Linked DNA regions of Drosophila melanogaster. The protein of the gene in region 1 interacts with the protein of each later gene in a pairwise test. Each region holds a gene or a part of one and is shown on either strand. Other genes may lie near its edges.

Region 1 (4,642 bases):
CACTGGCGGAACCTCCAGCGAATTTTACATGGTATCGCAAACACAACAAGCTGCACAGCAACAACAGACTGTACACGATCCAGTCGGACAGCTACTGGTCGAGTCTGACCATCCATGTGCTGAACACCAGCGCCTTCGATAACTACAGGTGTCGCGCCAGGAACGATCTGGGCACCATCGAGAGGACCACGCGACTGGAGCAGGGCGAGAAGCCTCCGTCACCGGCCAACTTCCAGCTGCGTGGCTTCAATTCAAACACCTTCGATGTGGTACTGAGTGCTCCACGAGGTCCTCCCGACAGTCCCATGGGGGTCAATGGATTCCGCATCGAGTACATGACCGAAATGGAGTTCAAGACGGATGCGGGCAAGTGGACCAATGCCAGGCGGAAGGATTATGCTTTCGAGGAGGGTGAGTTAAGCTTTAAAATATAGATAAAAGCTATCTCTTGCTACATTCGATATGTAAACTCATGGATTCTATAAATTTTAGGGGCTACCTTCCTTCTGACGAACTTAGAGCCAGATACCGTTTACCTGGTGCGGGCCGCATCACGGAATCTGGCCGGATTCAGTGACTTCACCAAGGTGGAGAAGTACAAGACACTTTCGCTGGAGCCCCGAGTCTCTTCGGGAGTCAAGGAGACCAGAAATATGTGCGTGGAACTGGGTGTGATGACACTAATGGTCCTGATGCGGCCGTTCCTGGGATGAATCTGAATCTGCAGGCGGATGAAGGATGACAGGTGATGCACCTAGCGGAACCGGAAACCAGGACCTTAAACCCCATGTGCTTTGTATAGCTATAAGGCGTGTCCACACGGCGACACTTTTCTGTCTGATTTGCTCGGTCTAAGTAATTTGGTTTACTCTTAAGTTCAGTGCGTTAATGTAACCTTAAAGAATGTTAAGTTTAGTAAGAATTTCTATTACGCTTTCAGTGCTTCGATTTGAATGATATTAGTGGATCACTTATAGGATATTTATATGTATTTAAACAAATCCTCATAGCAGTTAGACATAATCAATGGTTTGCTGGCCTTGGCTCCCCAAAATTATGCAAAACTAAAGCTTTGCTCAACATTCCAGTATATATTTTAACGTGAATTGGAAGTTTTCCCTGCAACTTTGCATCTCGTTGCCAAATCTTTAAGATATAATCAGACAGTTGCCAAAACTAAAAAAGTACATTAGTTTAGTATATACAAACAAATGCCTTCCGTCATTCGATATAACTAACAATCTTTTCAACTAAACTACATAAATATATAAAGTTTTGGAATACCATTAAACGCATCAAACAATTAATATAAATATCAAGGAGCTTAACGACAGCATTTAAAAGTTTTATATGTCACATAATTCTTTTTAATAGTCAAAGGCCAATAAAAACAATTCCACGTGTAAATTTCCAGGGCTAAAAAATACAGAATAAAATATAGATGTAAAAATAAGTTTAAACACTTTGCCACAATACAAATATTATGCAAACGAGAGAAAAACAAACACATATTTTACAAAAGTTATTTATATTCAATAAAATTAAATGTATTTCAGCTAAAGTGGTGTAAAATCTAAACCATAATACCTAGCCAAAGATTTAATATTTTCCAACTTTCGTTTGCCAATTGTGTGTGAGCCATAATAAAAGTTATGAATATCAAACCAGAACCGTTTGTGCTTCGATTTATTGATGTATAAATCAGTAAGTAAATAGAATATAAATATTTTAGTAAAAAAAATGCCTATTAGTTGGCGTAGCTTTTAGTGTTAATTTCTAATATTCGGCTCAAAAATTATATACAAAAAGTACAAAGCATAAAAATGTTGCAAGATGGAAAAACGAGCTCATTATTTTAGTCAGAACTCGAACCAGCCGCTAAATGCAGACTTTAATTTAGAAGATCAAATTATGAGGAATTCACAAAAAATATATAGGTTTAGCTCAGATCCGGGTGAGTAAAGCTTGCTAATAATGAATACATAAAATTAAAATTTTTATTTAGAATACAATAGAGTATATCAGCGGTATATGGCAACCCTCATCCGTGTGCAAAATTCCATGCATAGAAGATTTCAATCCAGGACCACTCTAAAATTGCAGGGCTCACATAGCCGCCTCTCAGCTGGCGGATTCTGTACGAAATTCAATAAATCCGGAAAGGAGAAAAAAAATAAACACAACCAAAGCCACGACCAGCAAAATGATACCTGTAAGCCTTCTTGCTCGAAGCCAACTGATTGCGCCACAAATGATGAACCTTCCTGCCGGGGCAATAAAAGTGCATCCGATAAAAGCCTGAAAATCACCCGCTGTTCCATACCGGAACCCAATAAGTCCCCACGCAGCGATGGACACGAGAACCAGCGTCAGAGCTGTGTGTCCTTTGAAGAGCCCGCGGCCAAGGATATTCCCACATTTGATCTGCACTTCCGGGACACCTCATGTACGGTGTCCCATGATTCCAGCCTGTCCTCCATCAACGTTTGCTATAGCCAAGAGCAACAGAGGGATATTACAAAATCTTGTCCCGCTCAAACGCCGAAAGAGCCAGCCCCTCAACGGATGAAGGAGTCGTCCAGGAATCAAACAGCTTCACGATTTTGCATGAGACCGTTGATTGTGGTGCCCACAGGTGGAGGAATTAAACAATTAAAGAAGGATCAATCTGAGAATTCCAAAATAGTTAGCACAGATCACTCCAAGTCGAAGTCTGCACACCACACGAATAGTTCTCGAAAATCCACAAAGAAGCAAGCAAAGAGTCACCGCCTTATTAAGTCTCACAGCTCTAAAGATTCTTTAGCAAATCGTGGTCAGCCTACAGTGGAAATTGAAGAAACTTTTCCAAATTCAATCTGCACTTCCGATACCCACGAATCCTGTGACTGCAAGAGCGAAGACCAATTTTGCTGTTACTATATACCAGAGGAGCCCCATTGCTCGCAGAATCCACCGCCATGTTCCAACTGCCCGGCTATATGCGACTTATCCAACCAATTGGAGGAGATGAATCGACGTTTGGAGGGCCTTCACAGCCAGGAACTCTGCGATATCCGCACGCAGGTGAATAGCCTCAATGCCAATGTTCAGCATTTGGCCAAAGAGTGCATTCAGAAAATGGATGGCGCCAAAAGGCTGGACAAGAAGACCTCGAGCACCTGTCAGTTCTGTCATGGGCAGTGTTTGAAAATACTTGATAGCTTCTATAGGCAACTGCTGGACTCACTTTGGGATCGTTCCCTGACAGACATAGTAATATCCATATTTCTGCGAGCAGACAATGTCTATCACGTAAATGTGCGGGATCTGAGCTCGGACTGTTCCCTTGGTTGTTACCTGGTCACTGATGCGGCCATAGAGGAGGCCATCGAGTTGGGAGTTTTTCAGAACATACTCACATTTAGTGTAATTGATGTGCGGAATACCATCAAGTCGAAGAACTGCGACTTGGGCATCGTCTTTGAATACCATCATTCAAAGCGGCAGACCGGTGGTTGCGATTCTCCACTTCGTGGCTCCTGCATGGTGGGCAAGGAATATATCGGCAGGGTTCTCGGACTTCCTTTGGAGCAGCTGAAATACCTGTACTCCGTTCCGCGATCCTATACCAAAATCACTGAGCACGACACTAGGAGTGTAACTGGAAGTCAGTTACACTCAGTTTCCACTCAAACGACTTTGATGGATATGCAGACAGAAATGAAGATAAGATATAAGAAAAGTGCCCGTACAAAACTACCATCAGTTTGAAAGATATCAGTTTTAATAATATATAGCAAAAGTTATAGTTAAGCCAACTTACAACGTATTTCTAAAATTTTGTAATAAAAGACCTTATAATTTTAAAAGCCAGCATAGATCAAAGGAAATTCTGATTAGTTTCAATAAAGCTAACCGTACAGGTTGCACTGCCATTTGCACAACCGACGGACCGCATGGCAAATGGTTCATTTGTTCAACGGGCGCGGTTTGTCAATCAGCCACATCAACTGGGGCTCAACTAAGGACCCGCATATGCGCTTTTGGCCGGAATGCCTTTTTGGGGGGGCTTTTTGGGGCAAGGAATAGGAGCACTGCGTTGACAGCCGCATAAATCAGTTGAATGCCAAACGTCGGATTCGGATGCAGATGCGGATGCTGTTGCGTATGCGGATATGCATTGCGACTGGGCGCCATATTGTGCGTGGTGACTTTTATTGCCCGACCGCGCGTTAAATATTTTTCTGTCTACACACATGGACATGGATGCTCCGCTCATCATTGACATTTACCATTGGCCATCGTCATTCGCATCACAATGAGCAGCAATGAGCGTGGCCGTTATTTGGGTGCGGTTCAAAACAATCAGCCCGGCTATTTAATTTCCAAATGAGAGGAGCATTATTCGGCACAGCATGAGTTCAAATCACTTGCCCCATGTGCCCGCCAGCTTTCAATATCAACACTTTAAGTCAACGATTTGAGCGACGACAGCTGAATCAGCAGCGAAGAGAAGAGGACAAATAAATACTGCGAAAAAAAATGCAGAATTCGGCCATTTTAGGCCTGCAACCGCCAATCCGCCAATTCACCAATCCACCGGCAAGTGGGTCAGTTTCGCACGGGCTTTTAGAGCAAATCAACGCGAAATCCGCTCCAG
Region 2 (6,501 bases), on another chromosome or scaffold:
TTGAAGATTGTTTGCGGTGAGTAATAAGTGCATTGTAACAAACTATTTCTTTGTTACTAATGACCCATCTAACTAGGGCTCTCCTCGAGTTCATGCGTGCTCCCAACGAACAGCTGAAGCGCCGCGTCTACAACGTGACCGCCATGTCCTTCACTCCCGAGGAGCTGTTCGCCCAGCTGGGCAAGCACGTGCCCAATCTGCACGTGACCTACAAGCCAGATAGCCGCCAGTTGATCGCAGACGCCTGGCCGCAGGTATTCGATGACTCCGATGCGCGGCGCGACTGGCACTGGCAGCACAAGTACGACCTGTCCAACCTGGTGGACTTCATGATCAAGGACGTGCAGGATAACTACATTAATGTTCAGCCGGAGCAGCAGACTCTGCAGATCTAAGACGTGGATCGAACAACCGCATCTAGTATTGCTAAGTAATGAAATCCAATCGCATTTAACACTGCATTTATCTAGTGAATAGCAACACAAACCACTGTAACATTTTACCTTTTAAAATACAGTAAGGCATTTATTGGAAAGGAAAACTATTGGTTCATTTCATCTTGAAGAATTGTGATCTTAAAGTTCTTCAGCACATGGAAATACTTTCGATTATTGATGTGAGTTTCGCACGATAGCTTTTGGTTTATTCGAACTCAAATACTATTGGTAAGCACCTTTAGTTTGCGACAGCTTATATTACAACTTAGGCTAGGATGTACAATTCTTGCTCGGAGTTACTTTATCATATATCAGACTCCTCTAGCTCCGATCCGCCGAGCCCACAAAAGTGGTGCAGACTGCCGCCGTGTGTGGCTATATACAAGTCCGCTTCGGCTTCGCTGCCTATGGACTTTAATTTGATTTTCCCAATAGAATTATTAGATTTTCTTGACTTTTGCTGCGGGGACGGCACTCGTTGCTCTGCGGATTCTGTAAACGAGCAGATTGGAGATTTGTCTATCAATTTGGGTCACTAACTTGGCCTTTCGCGTTTGCTGTTTGGATCTTCCACAAAGTGCTCTTTAAAAGTTGGCTGACTTCATTAACTTAAACTTCGAATAAAATAGAAAAAATAAAGTATATAAAAAAAATTTAAGTATAACAGAATTTATATAAAGATCGGTGGTAGCTGTTAAGTTTATTGCAAATATATGTGAGTGTAAAAATTGATACAAAAGATATAAGCACTCACCGCGGTCTTAAGCTACTAAGTCATCAATATACCTAAAGCATATGTTGATAACGATTTGAACTAATGGTAAAGTATACCTTAGAAATAAATTTACGACTATGGTTGCGTATCAGCCAACTTCACATATTAAATTCACTTTGTGAAGGCTCCCAGCAATCGCTCCAGGCTGATTGAACATTTCACTTAACATATATTGCTTGCTTTTTTGTGATTGCAATGTTTCGCAGGTCTAACTATTACTTTTTGAAATTAATTACGTATTTCAATTCTTTAGGTAGTTAAGTACAGTTTATGTTCGATGTTCGACTTAGCTGTTGTTTGTACAATAGTTCGTGAGTTTAACAATTTATACAGAATACTTATTGGCTGAGTCGTTAGCTGATTGTTTTTTTTTTTTACAAAATTTGAATTTTTGGTATATGGTAGGTATGTGCATTGCGGATATTTTCAATTCAATTGCTCCTTTGCGTTAATTTGCTTTCTGAGTGATATGCGAACATTTTTCGATACATTGTCGGCTGTTTAGCAAATAAAGAGAGACGCGTCGCTCGGTGAACTGTTGCATGTGTTTCTTGTGCGCTTTTCTCAGCTACAGTACATGTTTTGGGTTATATATGTACATTTTGAGTTTTGTGTGAACGAGGGCCCCTAAATCATGTGCGACATCATGCAACGACTCACATCACGGTTGGCGCGATGCAAATGACCTTGATAATGCTGATGAATGCGCTGATATTGATGTGGCTGCTGTGGATGTTGCTGTTGCTCTTGATGTTGCTGCTGCTGCGCTGGAAAACTCGTCTCCGATTCCATCATCATCATGCCGCCGGTGGCCTGCATCTCGTAATCCATCAAAGAGGCCTGCGTTCCAATTATTTGTGTGGCAGGCAAGGAAAAGAAATCTGCAAGGCAATAAACCGATCATTAAGTTACATTAACTTATATAAAATAATTTACAATTTATTATAATTGTATGTACAAACTGAAGTCTATTCCGATTTTTCTCAGTGCAACGGCAATGCAACGCAACACGTTGACACTATCGATGCTTGGCCCAATTACCGATCGTTTATTTATAACCAATTCGGAGCAGAGCAGTGTGTTGTCATTTCTTATCTACGAGTTAGTTTCTTTTTTTCTGCTTTTTGTTTGTGCTGATAACCTTATCAACGCAATCGGAAACTATAAGGTAACGAAGGCAAAACGGAGTGCACAGATTAACAACAACTAATTAAGTGTAGTCATAGTTGCAAAAATACATATGTATATTTATTCCAATAGAAAACATTTAAAATTGTATTTCTATTATTTTGTACCCCTTTTAAAAATATTAATATAGATCAAAAAAATTGAGATATATATTTAAGTAAATCGTGGACAAAACTAAATGAAATATTCGTACATATCATTGAAATCACTTAAAAACATTTAAGAAGCGTTTATACCCTCAGAAAGAGTATAGATTATTGATTCACTCCCGCAGATATACACATTTCTTTTACCGGCTGTATATATTTACGCCCACACTGCCTTCCCCCTTTGTTTTCTTCTATTGTTGGAACACTTTTGCGAATGCAGATTGATTAAACTGGCGGTGTAAGAAGAATCGTAACACTCTGTTGACCCAGTGTACATAGTCATCTCCGCAGTACCTCCAGTTAATCCCCACTACTTGTGTGTTTTGTTTAGTAGGCCAAACACACCGATATACATATATGCATATGTATGTCTATAAAGACTGAGTCAAGCCGGTTTTTCTTTGCTAAATTTAAGCGGCTGTCAAGTGCTATCGTTTCGAGTCCGGTACCCTCTGTATGCCACAGATAGTCCGGATCCCACCGAATAACTGAACAGTGATAACACAGGTCGCTGGGAGAGCCAATGGGAGAAGAAATGGGGCCGCAAGGTCAGAGATAATTGTGTAAATTTACAAGTTTTACGACACTTTCACGCAACACCAATTAAATGCGCGGGCATAAGAGCCAAGGTCGAGAGATTATAAACAAAATTACAGCTTAAGTCGTCTGGTGTGTTCCGGTTTTTAAATTCATACCAACAAAAATGCCTTCAATACTCATTTAAAGTTAAATTAATATCATATTTGGTTCAAGTATAATTTGAATTTCATTGCAAGTGTTAAATTTAAGTTCAAAATGGTTTGAGACACTAAAAAATGCAACCATTACTCTTAAAGGATTGAGTATAACATAATAATATATTTCTGAGTGTTTTCTGAAACTAATGAGGATATTTAATATTTAAAGGCTGCTCGACAACAAATTTATTTATTGGAATTATTGCATGTGCAATTGCTAAGTAAGCCTAATATAAAACTGCCTTAAACAATTTAATAATTAAATAACTAAGCTTGCATTTTTGAGCAGCGATACTCACCATTGCAGTACTGGGCGGCCAAGTCAGACTCGTCGTAGCGACATCTCTTGGTGTACACCGGTTGGTCCGTGTCCAAATCCCCGACAGGATTGTGACCGGGATTCAGGCGCTTCTTGCAGCGCAGGACTTCCGGAGGCAGGACGACCGGCATCGGTTGTGCCGCGAGGTTATTGCCATCATTGTTGTTGTTGTTGTTGTTGGCGTCGGTCATGAAGGTGACGGCGCGTGGATTGAACGGATCCATCGAAGGACGCAGCGCTCCAGTTTCGAAAGTGGCGGCCGCCGACGACGACGGATCACCATGTGCCCAGCACTCGAAGTTCGTCAAAACCATCGCGCGCCAGCTGCAGTGGAATTTCCCCAAAAAAACCGAAAAGCAAGTACAGTAAATTCGGAAAAAACGCTCCTCTGCGTCCGTACTGTACTGTACGAAATCGTGCGGCGAACTGCAGGCGCGTATTTTTCCCCTAATTGAAATCGTATTTGTATGCAGTATGGATTTTGATGGCTCTGTCGGCTTAATAAGCGCCGAAAATACGCAGCAGTTGCTAAAATGGATGAAATAATTCAATTAACACACGCAAGCGGGGCGCGCGAGCATTCGGCCGAAATGCGACTGTAAATGCGGTGACGGCAACTGTTAAAAATAAACCAATAAGCAAGTTTTACATTTTGCCGCGTGCGCCTTTCGATTCACGATTGCTCTTTTGTTTTCCTTTCGCTCCAGTGTGACCACACTGCTGGTGTCGCAATAAGGCGTGCGACCCTGGAGAAAAATACCGAAGAAGTTGCGAAAAGACAGCTGTGGTTGCAAAAATAGTGCAGATCTTATGAATCTCATTGGAAGTCATGGAAACTTATAATTTATATATATTTATATTTATAATTATCGAAAATCGCGAAACAGCGTACAATATGTTACTTGAACAAATATGACACTTCATTTTGTATACCTAAAGAAATAGCTTCAATACTTCTCTTTTATTTTGATATAATTTTAACTTTTTACTCAATTAAAATGAATTAAAAAATGAGAATTTAGTTGAAAATATTTCGATAGCAACGATACCAACGATTAATCGACTAGTCGCAGTATTTTCTGGTATATTTTGAATGCTGGCACGGTACTACCACTTTATCATGTGATTTGTGATTTGTCAAATATTTCTGATAACCGAATGGCAGACCAAAGCAAAACTAGAAATTGAGAGAAATTGCTGATTTTTCAATTAAGCTGCATTCTATTTAACTGAAAAGATGTCGACCAAGAACAAGAAAGCCGCCGGAGGCAACGGAGTTGCGCCGAAACAAACCCGCCAGCAGTCGCACGTATGTAACATGACGGCTCCGATTGCCGGCTAGCTAATCCCTTGTTTATTTTGGATGCCCAGGACTCGCAGGACTACAGCTCCTTCAAGACAGTGCTCTTCTACTGCATGCTTATCGTTTTCCTGCCCGTGCTGACCTTCTTTGTGCTGAAGGGCTTCGTTCTGGACCAGTTCCTCGACATTTCCGAAGTCAAAGTGAACATAGCATCCGCCGTGGGAGCGGTCGTTGCATTGCACATCGCCCTGGGACTCTATATATACAGGGCCTACTTTGGGGCACCCGGTTCCAAGGGCTCCAAAACGGACTAATCCTCATCTACCCCGGACTGTTACCCTATTTCCATTAACTTTAAGTCGGTAGAGCACTCTTGTACATACATACATGCTACATATATAGATACAATTGTTTACATGCCAGCGAGGGAGGAGAAAGTCGCCTGTAAACCGTGTGTAATCGCTTTTCATTGCATAAGTTTCGATAACAGCGTGGAAAACGTGTTGTGTTGTGTAGTGTTCTGTGTGCATAATTTGTATTAAAAATATACATGCATAAGTGAAATGCGTCTGCTACTCAGAAATTATTCCCTAATGGAGGCCGTCAAAAGATTGCTGCCGAGACCGCGCAAAAAAATCTACAATCTAGGCGCTTGCTTCGAACTGGTGGATATTCCTAAGGTTAACTAAAACATACATTTATTTGTACTCTCTGCTTGAAAGGGGAGTTCTGTATAAAGTATACTGACTTCGGGGATTTTATTATATTGATAAATTAATTTTATGTTTTTGAATTTTATATTATATGTTTTCTTTTTGATTGAAGCACAAATTAGTCATTTTATTATTTTGTAAGAAGAGAATGGCTAGTGAACTGAATATTTCGTGTAACCATTGCTTAAGACCCCTGCTCATTAAATCTAGACACGCCCGTGACCTGTTTTTATGGGGGTGCCACCTGTTCGGGACTGGTGCTGCCACCTGATACAAATGGCAAGCAGCTGTTTAAATAATACGCGTAAACAAAACGATTTTGGTTGAATTAGTAAACAAGGAAATTAAATGATTTTTGAGAGGAGTGCAATAAATTACTGATGGGAAACAAATAGACACCCACAACGAGCGTTACCTATAGACAGTGTTATTTTCGTTAGCATTTTGACCCCCTTTGCGACGCCCATTTTTGTTATTTTGTGCCTTACAAGTCGGCCGTAAAAACTGGCCAAAATGATAATTTAATAGACTCGCCAAAGGGTCTTAAGTACAAGCCGGAGTGTGCCGCAAAATAGTTGCGCAGCCGGATGACCAATCTTTAAACTTCTTACGAACCTGCCGCTATTGATTGCAACCACCTGTTGGGACACAACACTCCCACCGCCGAACAAAAACACTCAGCCACGTAGTCTTAAGTCAGTCGGTTAAATATGCTACATCGAACAGCTAGAATGTGGACGCTGTGCGTGCAGACAGCTTTGATAGCCACCTTGGTGAGGGGATCCACTTCCCAGAAGGATAATCTCGTAGGAAGAACACAGGTCAATGGAGGGTAATGCAGCTAAACCAACCGCCTGCTTAATATGTGCTTTCTTTTAAT
Region 3 (4,121 bases), on another chromosome or scaffold:
ATATTCGGAGCTATTGGTAGGAGAGAACGATCCTCTTTATGTTCACACCTTGGCGGCCGTACGTTCAGAGTCCGAAAAGCGTTTCAGTCCCGCAGCCAGGGACTGAGATCTTTAGGAACTACTGCACAAAATCACATTATTAGGAAGATTTATGGGTTTACCTCGATTGGGATTTGTTTGTTACCTTTTACTAACTACGGACTGCCTGCAATAAATTTTGTTAATATTTTTGTAATGTGCATTTTATGATGATGATATGATGATATTAACAAAGTTCTATTCAACTCGACAAAAAATCAAAAGATAATCTGTTTTATTTTTGTATATCTATAGCACAGCATACACACTTAACTTTATGTATTTATACAATGTATTGTAATTGCGTCAATTGCATCTACCGATCTACCATTAGGCACATTTCATTTGGGGCTCGATCAGTCCAGCAGCGACCAATACTGGAATACAATGGGTGGGTGGTTTATTGGCCCTTGGCCGGAACGGACGAGGTCGATCGATTGATTTATTCAAATAAGTTAATGCATACACACACACTTACTATACATATTTTTTTAAGAAAACTGAAATAACCGCAGAAATATGCAAGTAACGGATAAATTTATTATATCAAACATATTTTATTTGTGAGCAAAATGCATATAGATTTAATAAAAAAGTACATGGATAGAACGTAATGATCCAAATGATTTCGCTTGCATTCGGTTGGGTGGTGATCACGATGATGGTCGATGATGGGTTGGGCCTTACACAATATATAATTATCTATTATATATATTCAATATAGTGGGCTAAACTGGCGTGCAGTCGTCTCTCTGAACGTGGGCATCATAGTTCTGCTCGTTGATGAAAGTATGCGTGCACTTGGAGCAGTGGAAGCGGCGATGGCGGTTGGTTCCGGGACTCTCGTGCTCCCGCAGATGGGCCTTCATGTTGTACATCTGGGAGAAGCGCTTGTTGCACACCGGGCAGGCGAAGGGCTTGTCCCCCGTGTGGGATCGCATGTGCCGCTCCAAGTGAGCCTTGGTCCGGGTCTTGAAGCCGCACACCTGGCACTCCAGCCGTTTGGTCTCGCTGTCGTGGATCATCTTGTGCTTGTACAGGGCCACCTTGTGAACGAATCGCTTGGAGCAGACATCGCACTGGTATGGCGTTTCGCCGGAGTGCCAGGCCATGTGGTGCTTCAGCCGGAACTTGCGGCTAAAGCGTTCCGGGCACACTGGGCAGGCGAACTGCTTCACGGGCTCGTGGTTCTGCAGGTGCCCTATGAACCCGGAGTACGATTGCAGCGTCTTGCCGCACTGATCACAGACGTAGCCGGGAAAGTGCTCGCGTTTCGTGTGGACATTGTAAGCGCGCCGGCTGCTGAACTTCTCCGGGCAGCTGGGGCATTGTATGTTGACCGTGTATTCGCCGGAGCTTTCGTTGTCCTGCTCCTGGTCCTCGCCATCGGATATTATGTACTCTATTGCGCCGTCCAGATGTTCGTCAAAGTCACTCATGGTATCTTCCTTAAAAAAGTCTTCCTCCTGGGCCTCTTGCTTGTCATGTGGCAACAGATCCTCCTCCTCTATCTCGTGGGCCACCTCCTCTATCTCGTGGGCCACCTCCTCTACCTCGTGGGCTTCCTCTTCGTTAATGATAATCTCGTTGTCGATATCTAGCTCTAAGTCTACGGAGTGGAACTCATCCTCCTCCTCTGATTGTTTGATAATGAAGGTGTGCTCCTCTTCGGCCACTTCCTCCACGATGCCGGCGGGACCGACCAGGGTGACGGTGGTGCCCACGCTCTCCAGTTCCTGCTCCTCCTCGTCCTGTTGCTGTGCCTCCTCAATATTCCCATCGAATTTGCTTATGGTGGTCTCTCGGTCGAGATCGTCCTCTTTGTAGGAGGTCTGCTTGTGGTCCTTGGACATGTAGGGACTGTGGATCAGTTCCAGGATCTCCCCTCGCAGCTTGCGCGCTATTTGTATGGACTTGTGGTATCTGGCGAGCTTCTCGCAGCACTTCTTGCAGATCGTCGACGATTCCTCCGTGAGGACGTAATTCGTGCCCCGGGTGCACTGCAGTACCAGTTCGCTGATCAGCACCGGCGGATGTCCGACGGTATCGGTGTGAATGTCCTTCGGTACGCGTACCGAGAATTGACAAATGCAGCAATTCATATTTGATTGAAATTTATTTACACTTTCGGGGCAGTGTGACCGTGCCCTGAAGAAGGCTCCGATTGCACAGCTATCGGTTATCGACGATGTGATCTGGTTCAATTTCCAAATTTGAACTTTGGCTGCTAACCAACAAAGCAGATCTGAAACTCAAAATCAAAAGCTGAAAATTTGTAACACCCAGCGAAAAAACAAATCGATATGTAGCCATGTATTTACTAATTTTTTGTTGTATTATAAATTGCCAACAGGGCAGTTAGGAAAAATAAAACAAGCTTTCAAACGCCTTCACTGATACGCGTTCAGATTCTTTTTGGGCAAGATGATGTTGTAATGCTGGAATTTGGTCCAAGACAGCAGTATGTCCTTCGTCCTGCCGTGCGGCGCCTCCCCAAAAGTCTGCAGGCAGTCTCTTTAGTAATCAGGTTGATCGTAGCCAACTTCATCCACTTACCTTGCAGCACCCGTAAATTTTCATTACTTTCTTGTCCTCCTTGTTGCTGATGAACCCTCCACCCAGGCATTTGGCGCAAATTCCAATTTTGTCCATCTCCTTTTGGATTTCCTCAAAGATTTCCTCTGGCGACAGAACGATTAGAACACGTATTAGCTATACTGATTATTAGAACTAACCGTGGTCCTTGGAGGCGGATCCTCTTACAATGGTCCTGCCGAACCTAGTTAAACCGTGCATGTGAATCATCATCAAAAGGTACTTGTTCTTGCCTTTAGAAAGCTGAACTCTAGGAACATTTATCAAAAGGGCGTTTACGCGCGAAGAACTTTGCCTTCGAAGGGGCTTCAACAATTGTGAAACAGGTGCCAAAAGATTCAAGGTTTTCATTTTGGAAAAATTTTAGGAAAACGCACTGGAATTTAGATGAAATATTCCGAAAAGAAACTGGTATGAACGGTAGCAAGGCTCCAGCTAGACTGATTTTGTCAGAAGCCTTCCGGTCGTATGCTAAATTCAAGACTGACACGAAAATCGGAGCACATGTGATCATTCAAAAAGTACTAAGCCCTTGTATCTTGTGAAAGAAATTTTTGTATGAACTAAACTATAAATGCAAAATTACTCTTCTTTCTACTCTCTCCAGAAATGGAAATATCAACCATATTCCGCCAATTACAATCGCCTGTTCGATTACCCCTTAATAATATTGAAAGAGCGCTACTTTTATATTCTATTTTCTTTTTATTAGTACTGAATTTCCATTTTCGAAATTTATGCAACTTTATTGTTTAACGGTTATCTTAAAGTCCTTATAAGTGGTCCACGCTTGAAGTATATTCCTTGTCCTTGTGTGATCAGCACCGCCGAAAGTCTAGGGAGACCCATCAAGAACCATTAGCCGGTGCTTCAAGGACCAAGGATCCTCTACTTACCCTGGAGGTGCCATAGATCTTAATTTTTTTATTTTCTGCCTCGTTGAGAATCCTTCCACCACCGAGGATTTTGGCACATATGCCCTCGGGTTCCAGCTCCTCCAAAATCGAGTCGAAGACCGCCACTGAAAGAAGGATTTGTAAGACTGCTCAAGGTTAAGCGTCCAGCAGTGGAAACTCACAGTGATTGTCAACATCGGCGCCACGGACAATAACTCTTCCATACTTCGTGAAGCCATGCGTATGAATATTCACCAACAAATAACGATTCTGACCCTTGGTTATCTTGACCCGGGGAACGCCTACCAAACTTATCAAATCGGTTGAGTAACATTTTTCTAAAACCAAGTATATTAGGGCTTGTAAATCTTAATATTGAATATTCCTAAGCCTTACGAAACGGAGAAACAATATGAGGAAGCAGACGCAATGACTTGAACATTTTCATTTTATTTAACCAAAGGAAAAGAAACGAAATTTGTGTACAAACTGATTAATTTAGATCCGAAAAGGTTTAGTGCGAGCAGTTGCAAAGCTACAGACTAACTGCCT

What was found.
Region 2: the proteins of CG15631 (region 1) and CG32428 interact in a two-hybrid assay, tested with the Drosophila melanogaster proteins (one large-scale study listed by BioGRID).
Region 3: the proteins of CG15631 (region 1) and ZIPIC interact in a two-hybrid assay, tested with the Drosophila melanogaster proteins (one large-scale study listed by BioGRID).

Annotation. Positions count from the first base shown.
Region 1 is NT_033779.5:4,731,618-4,736,259, reverse strand, and holds CG15631 (uncharacterized protein), read left to right. Parts: upstream 1-1,801; 5' UTR 1,802-1,833; coding exon 1,834-1,954; intron 1,955-2,005; coding exon 2,006-3,753; 3' UTR 3,754-3,847; downstream 3,848-4,642. Other genes in the region: fipi (factor of interpulse interval), read left to right, coding at 1-411, 493-713.
Region 2 is NT_037436.4:20,469,056-20,475,556, forward strand, and holds CG32428 (uncharacterized protein), read right to left. Parts: upstream 4,318-6,501; 5' UTR 3,920-4,317; coding exon 3,586-3,919; intron 2,094-3,585; coding exon 1,899-2,093; coding exon of another isoform or gene 1,840-1,898; exon of another isoform or gene 968-1,839; intron 930-967; coding exon 742-929; 3' UTR 619-741; downstream 1-618. Other genes in the region: Tdh (L-threonine dehydrogenase), read left to right, coding at 1-16, 77-395; CG5969 (uncharacterized protein), read left to right, coding at 4,843-4,914, 4,977-5,222; isoQC (iso glutaminyl cyclase), read left to right, coding at 5,472-5,588.
Region 3 is NT_033777.3:30,034,622-30,038,742, forward strand, and holds ZIPIC (Zinc-finger protein interacting with CP190), read right to left. Parts: upstream 2,250-4,121; 5' UTR 2,181-2,249; coding exon 807-2,180; 3' UTR 619-806; downstream 1-618. Other genes in the region: ocn (ocnus), read right to left, coding at 2,469-2,579, 2,635-2,759, 2,814-3,024; janB (janus B), read right to left, coding at 3,419-3,508, 3,570-3,694, 3,752-3,907, 3,966-4,017. UniProt on the Drosophila melanogaster protein: Insulator DNA-binding protein. Recruits Cp190 and cooperatively binds to chromatin promoter regions to exert transcriptional regulator and chromatin insulator functions.